Linked DNA regions of Mus musculus. The protein of the gene in region 1 purifies or fractionates together with the protein of each later gene. This does not show direct contact. Links are inferred from orthologs where the notes say so. Each region holds a gene or a part of one and is shown on either strand. Other genes may lie near its edges.

Region 1 (3,748 bases):
GGTCCTCTATGGAGCAGGCAAATGGGTGGGGGTTGGCCTTCCACTGAGGGCCACGTGGGCCCATCTCAATGGAGTAAGTCTCAGCAATCTTGGCCATCATGGGCACATCACCAAGGATGAAGGCCTCCACTCCAGAGCGTACGAAGCACGAGAAACGATTGAGGTTCCGTCCTACCACACTGCCCCGCTTGGCAGACGCCAGGCTGTCCTGCCTTTCCAGGGGTGCCTTGGGTCGGAAAGCCATATGCTGGTTGGGGTAGGCACCCGGGTAGGAGAGGTTGAGTGGAGGGTGCCCATTGGTACCTAGGCCGCCAGCTAGTGGCTCTTCTACCACTGTGCACCCATCATCCCAGTCATCCCAATCATCATCATCATCATCCTCGAAGCTTCCTGGGTTTGAGAGGAAGCCGCTGCCCCCACCACTCCTGGCTGGACTGGCCATACTCGGGCTGCTATACAAACTCCCCTGGGTGCCCAGGGAGCCTGCAGGGCTGTTGGAATAGTCCACATGGTTGGTGCTGATGCCAGGACGGACAATCTCGACGTAAGAAGCAGGGAAGAGCCCTGTCTCCCCACGGCTGTTCTGTCCCTGCAGCCAGCCGTCCAGTGAGGTCTCACTGAAGATAACCAGCTCTTCGTCCTGCTGGATACTGATTTCCTCCTTGTTCTCACTGTGGAAATCATAGAGGGCTCGGCCTTTCAGTGCCATGGCTCAGCTATCTGTTAGGTCAAGACTGGAAGGAAAATGCCTTGCCCAGATTCAGGATGTTCAACAGGGTGTCCAAAAAAAAAAAAAAAAATGTACTTGCAGCTCAAAGTCTAGTAAGCCCTACCAAGTCCTTTGGGCAGGGCCTCAGCATGCACAGATGCTGTCTAGCTGCCTTTTGGTCAAAGAAGTGTCCATGGTCCAGAAACTGCCTTGGGGTATCTGCCTGTAAGCAGGGAGGGGTTGGTCATGGCCACAGTCTTTCTCCTCTCCCTTGGCAGCCCCTGGAAAGGAGCGGGTCTCTCCCTCCTCACACACCAAGCAGAAAAGTCAAATGACTTGAAGAAAGCAGCTCTGCTAGAACCAGAACGAGACACACACTTTCCACTAAAACAGTGTTGTACAACAGAAGAGATTTACCCTCAGACCACGGTCCCAGGAACGCAGGCAAGGTTCTGCCTCCTCTGGCTCTCCGTTCTTACTGGCTCCGGCTTTGGGAGGCTCTCACATTCTTCTGGAGATCTGCTCCTTCCTCCTTCCTCTCTCCTCCCGGGCCACCGCGTCTTCAAGAATCCAGAAAATTCAAGAGGGGCAAAGAGAATAACAGCAGAGTCCTGAACCAATTCCAAGGGTGGATGTGTCCGGCCTCCAAAAGAGCCAGGCCAGGAAAACAAGGGCCAAAGCTTGCACAACCGGCTGAAAACTACTCGACCCAGGGGGTGCGACCCCGTCTCGCTAGCTCTGGTGCCCTCTTCCCGCCCTGCAAATGGCCAGCCCCCGCCCCCAGATAACAAGGGGGGGCGCGACAAGCAGCGCAAAGAACTTCTGGCCTCTTTCACTCAGTGCCTCTTTTGTTTGCCTAATTCCTCGGCAGTTTCAGAGTATGAAGCTGACCCGGATCAGAGTCTCAGAACCCCTGTCCAGAAGTAACGCTAGGAGAAACCTCCACCATCACCACCCCCCGCCCCTGATGTGCCCCGGAACACTCAACAGCAGTCAGTAGATAGAGCTCTGTCGAACAGATGGCGTAGTCGGGTGTTTGTCAGTCCGTCCGTAGGTTCGTTCTCCGCGATGCCCTCTGGATCCGACCCGAGAGGGACTAGCTGAGCCCCAGCTTCTTGCCTCTTTGCCCCTCACTCGCAGCCCTTCAGCGCTGCCAGCAGGAAGCCAAGTCCAAAACAAACATTCACCCTCCCTTCAAAAAACTAAAAAGAAAAAGAAAAAAGAAAAAGAAAGAAAGAAAAGAGAAGGGGGGAGGAGTCCAGGAGATGGCGTTCCGAGGAAGGAGGCTAAAGCAGTAGGGGAGGTGAGGGGTGGAGAGAGAGGGAGGGAGGTATGAGGGAGGGAAAGCAGGCTACGGAATTCAACAAACTCTACCGCACTTCCGTGCGTCCTGGCCGGTCAGGGACCGCACAGCTCCGCCCTCCCGCGGCCAGGGTGCCACCGCCGGCCTTCCGCTCACTTTCCTTCTGGCGGGCGCCCTCCCTCTCTCCGGTTCAGTCCCGGTGGCCGGGATCCAGGAAATGGACCCGGGAGTCGGGGAGCTGCGAGCTTTCAGCAGCCCAGTTGCCGGCGCCCAGAGCCGCTTCTCGCTCGGATTGGATCGCCGCGTGGGGGAGCTCGCCAGCCGCCTTCGAGCTTCGCCTCCTGGACTTGGTCATCCATCTGCCTTTTCCGTGACGCAAGTGCAGGAAAACTCCGAAAGTTTGCGGAGCGCAGTGGCAAGGAGGGAGCTATAAAGGCTAGGAGAACCGCCTCGGCTGCAGGGGAGCAGAGCTGCGGACTCCCTTTTCCCAACCTCCTTTCCCGCCACGCGTACTTCGATCTGTCTAGGGGCTAACACAGCTCCCGGGTTGTTCTCAGATGGTGTAGGCAGCAAATTGTGACCCTGGTATCCCGCAGGTGATAACCGATGCTGTAAGCAAGATAGGGAGAGGAGCCCTCCTGCCTTCCGCAGCTCCCAGAGTGTGGGGGTGGGGTGCCAAAGACCATGTAACTTCTTCAGTGACAAGTTGCAAGTTTAGGCACAGGCGGGTTCTGGGTTGCTTTGTCCTTTCGCGGGAGCCAGATCTTCCTTCCAGGCCAGCAGCAAATAGCAAGGAGAGAGGAGTGGTCTGGTAAATAGCCTTTAGGCTTCCAGGATTCGACCCTCCACATTAGGCAAAACTAGGTGTACTAAAGACAGGAGTTGTGCTGAACTCTGGAGCGAATATAACAGCTGGATTGCTGCTGTGGTTTTTAATTCACACTGTCTGTCCCATCATTAAGTTTATATTCCAAACAACAAATTAACCGAAACTAAGATTATCGTCTGGAAGGTCATAAGTATCTTCACAGAGAAGCAAGATGTTCCAGCCTAGTGTGGCCAGTGTCGTGCAAAATGCTTGGGAAGGCACTGATCCCAGCCTAAGTGGAACACATATCAAGAACCTTCCAAGCCGTGGTCACCCATTCCTTCAGTCCCAGCACTAACAGAGACAGGCAGATCTCATGAGTTTGAGGCCAGCCTGGTCTACAAAATGAGTTCCAGAAAGCTAGGGATACATAGAAAACCCCTGCCTCTCTGTCTTGTCTCTGTCTGTCTCTCTTTGTTTTTCTCTCTCTGTCACACACACACACACACACACACACACACACACACACACACACACGCACGCACACACACACACCTCCTCTTCCTCTTGGAGCCCTAGAGCCTTATTTACCCAATCTTGCTAGGGCTTCCTACCTCCAGGTTACTATTGTTCTTACTTATTGCTGATTAACTGGTATAAAGTAGTGCTGCTGAAGGTTGGGACATTTGGCTGTTTTGAGGGTCATGACTCCTAGACCTCTGACTCCAAAACTCATAAACTTTGACTCCCTATGAAGGATAACAGCTGGTCGTGATGACACACACGGGAGACTGAGTGAGTGCCAGGCCAGCCTGTGCCACATCTAGCAAGATCTTACCAAAAGTTAACCAAACAAACCGGGAGCTGAAACAGCACTGTCATGAATTGGAGGCTGGACTCCAGTCCCTTTCTTAAACAAACAGACAAA
Region 2 (3,648 bases), about 35 Mb from region 1:
GCCATCTCTTCAGCCCTCTGTGCACATTTGTGTGTGTTGTCAGTGCCTGTGTGTGTGGAGGTCAGAGGACAACCTGCAGTTGGTTCTGTGCTTCTGCCTGCAGATCACACTCAGGCAGTCGGGCAGAGCAGAGGGTACCTGCTGGGCTATCTCGTTGGCCCCCATGTATCTTTCTTCCCTCCACCAGTGGAAGAAACATGGACTTTCCTCCTGTTCAGCTCAGAGCTTCTAAATTATGAGATCTGGGAAGATGGGGACATGTCCTTCAGACCAAGTTTGCTGACAGCAGCCTCTGACATGATGCAGGAGCTTGTAACATCATGGTTTGTAAGAATTTTTAAGGCCAAGACAAAGACCAAGCATGAGAGTGTCTGACTTAACTCCAGGCTGAACACCTACCTTTACCAGTTCAAAGGGAAAGCGCTCATGAAAGATACGATTGATGCGGGCTCCACCAGACAACTCTAGTGTGTCTACTTGATCTCCCGAGCCTTCAATTCGCTTCTCAAAGTCCACTCCAAACTGCTGAACCATCCTTCACGAAAGAAAAGGCAAAAGGTTAAGACAGAGTTTTCTGCACGGCCCTGTAATTACATGAATCAAGAGATAAGCTCTGCTCTTACAAAGGCTTTAAGTTACATTTGTGTATTGGAAGGAGGCATGCCACAGTCTATGAGTGGGGTCAGAGGAGACTTATGGGACTCAGTTCTCTCCTGCTACCAGGTACGTCTTGGGGATAAAACTCAGGCTATCTTGGCAGCAAGCCTGTTTACCCGCTGAGCCACCTTGTCAGTCCTGTGGCTCATTTTCATGGGATTGTTGTATGTGAATACAGGTATTGCTGTGTAACCCCAACTGGCTTTCAACTACAGACCCTTCTGTCTGGGCCTTCCATGCTAGCATTACAGGCATGTATGCCACCATGTTTGGCCATTTTTCTTTCTTTTTCAATATCACTGTTTAACAGCCAATGTGTAAAGTATCAACGCTACTTTGGTAAGTGCTGGGCACTATCCTGGTTGTTCTCAAGACCTCAATAGATCTGTTAATACTAAAATTCTAGATGGAATTCTGAGGGCACAGCTATGCAGTCCTTCCCCAGGTCCCATGATTGACTGCATGGCTGTCTGTCAAGGCAGCTGCTCCAGACCGGCTGAGGAGCATCTTTACTTTCCGCTACCTCTCTACCTCGGTCCCACAGGAGCGACAACATGGTAGGCTGGGAAATCTTGACTAAGTGGCTCTGCACTGTGAGGCTCAGCTTGTATCTGTGCAGAGCAGGTGACAGGGTGAGCACCGGAGAACTTGGCAACCACACAAGGCATCAACAGTTCATGTAAGCATAAAAAAAAAAAGGAAAACGAAAAAGAACATATTTTGGGGGTAGGTGTGGTCCTGGGATGGCTCAGTGTGTAAAGGTACTTCTCACTGAGTCTGAGGGCCACAGTGTTTGACCTCTTGGAACTAAATGATGCAAGGAAGGAAGGGACTCCCAAATGCCTACCAAGTGGCTGAAGTTTGCACCAGGCCACCACACCCAGTTGATCATGGTATATTTGCTTGCTCTCTCCTTTTTCTTTTTTTTTCATTTAAACAGTGTCTTGTTTTCTCTCTCTCTTTCGTGTGTGTGTGTGTGTGTGTGTGTGTGTGTGCACGTGCGCAGGAAAGAAGTGACTGTCCACTGTCTTTAAATCTCTCTCTACTTTACTGAATTTCTCCCTGAAGGCGGAGCTCAGTCTGTCTCCCCAGACTGGATCTCCCCATGACCCACGGGATCACGGGTGCACGCCCTCAGGCTTGGAGGAAGGGTTTCTCTCCTTGCACTAGGTCAGGAGATGGAGCTCAGGCCCTCGACTTTAACTTGCTCATCCACGTTCTCAGCTCAGCAAGTTTTGATTTATCTTCCTGCCACCACCTCCTAAGGCCCAGGATGACAGGCTTAGATAACATACCTTGTTCAGCTGTGTCCAACTTGAGTGCCACAGGCCACAGGACTACAGCAACGAATGAGGCACAACACACAATGACAACTTACTAAAACACTGTGATTAACACACAATGTCAACTTACTAAAACACTGTGATTAACACACAATGGCAACTTACTAAAATGCTGGGATTAGCACACAATGGTAACTTGTTGAAACAATGTGACTTTTCCCTGTTTTTTTGTAATGCAGGTACACAGTTTCAGGACATGAACCCTACAAATGACAGTGTCATGTTAAATGTCCAGAGACTGGACCCCACACTCGCAGGGGCAGGGTAGGACAAGGGCCTGAATGGAGAGCAGGATGACTGGGCCAGGCAAGGGGAAGGGGAGTGAGTACGCACTGCAGCAGGGCTTTGGTCTTGCGCGTGGGGTCATCAGGCCGGAAATTCTTGTACTCTTCCACTTCCTTCTCCAGGGACAGCAGTTGGCTCTGCAGCTTGCTGCGAAGGGTCGGCAGTGACTCTCGGATGTGGTTGGTCAGTTGCTATAGAAAAGGTAAGGGTCAGACAGGGTACCACAGGCCCAGAGGCCAGGAAAGAACACAATCCACCCTCAGGCCAGAATACTCAGTCTTGGGTGCAATCCAAAGAGAGCCACAAACCTACAGACAAATCATTGAGACGGGGACAGAAGCTGGAACAAGTGGAGCAGAGAGCCTGTAGCAGATGTCAGTTGACACCCAAGGATGGGGATGGTGGGACCAGTGTGCAGGCCTGGGATGGCCCTCTAACTAAGACTCAAAGGTATATGCTTTGAGCAGGACGTGGGGCCACATCTGCGGGAGACTGAGGGAGGGGAGGGACAGAGCAAGAGCCCCACTGCATAGCAGGTGGATTCCCAGCAGGGAAAAGAAAGATTCTGAACACACCAATGCTAGAGGAGAGCAGTGCAGAGGCTCCGGCCTGTGACGAGCCCCAAGTCTGTGGGAGCCAGGTTGTTCTGTGGGCCTTTTAGAATTCTTATTTACTTCTGTGAGTACGTGTGTTGGGGGGTAAGTGTACATGTTAGGGTGCCTGGGTGGAGGTCAGAGAACATGGAGTCTACTGTCTCCTTCTACCGTTCCTTTAGTTTGGGGACTGAAATGAAGTCCTCAGGCCTGAGCAGCAGGTGGCTGCTATGGACCACATCGCTGAGCTCACAAACAATCAATGCTCCACAGAGCACCTCTTAATTCAGGGGGGCCAGCCAAGCTATACACCTCTGGTTCTCAATAGCCCCAGGCTCTGTGGAGGGTTTTCCTTCCTGCCCCTCCACACTTTGGCCAGGTCCAGTGGTCTCTGCTTTTAGCCCTTCCTTTTTTTTTTTTTTAAAGATTTATTTATTTTTTTGTACATGAGTACACTGTCACTGTCTTCAGACCCACCAGAAGAGGGTGTCAGATCCCATTACACGTGGTTGCTGGGAATTGAACTCAGGACCTCTGGAAGAGCAGTCTTAACCACTGAGCCATCTCTCCAGCCCCCTTTATCCCTTCCTACAAGACACACTGCCCAATGCCTGCTGCACCTGCTCTAGGGATGCTGCTCTCAGCTTCATTCTGCACTAACCTCCAGCCACAGCTAACACTTGAGGAATTCATCTGGTGGCTCGTTTACCAGCTGGCTTTCCAGTGGACATTCCCTAAGGACAATGGCTCTCTCTTCAGGTCCCAATCTA

The links. The genes of interacting proteins can lie anywhere in the genome.
Region 2: the proteins of Snx33 (region 1) and Dnm2 purify together in Homo sapiens (co-immunoprecipitation; 3 studies listed by BioGRID and IntAct, with this or other methods). This does not show direct contact. The link is inferred for Mus musculus from reciprocal best matches to the Homo sapiens genes SNX33 and DNM2.

Annotation. Positions count from the first base shown.
Region 1 is NC_000075.6:56,926,075-56,929,822, forward strand, and holds the start of Snx33 (sorting nexin-33), read right to left. Parts: upstream 2,298-3,748; 5' UTR 710-2,297; coding exon 1-709. UniProt on the Homo sapiens protein: Plays a role in the reorganization of the cytoskeleton, endocytosis and cellular vesicle trafficking via its interactions with membranes, WASL, DNM1 and DNM2. Acts both during interphase and at the end of mitotic cell divisions.
Region 2 is NC_000075.6:21,473,360-21,477,007, reverse strand, and holds part of Dnm2 (dynamin-2), read right to left. Parts: intron 2,477-3,648; coding exon 2,334-2,476; intron 536-2,333; coding exon 400-535; intron 1-399. UniProt on the Homo sapiens protein: Catalyzes the hydrolysis of GTP and utilizes this energy to mediate vesicle scission at plasma membrane during endocytosis and filament remodeling at many actin structures during organization of the actin cytoskeleton.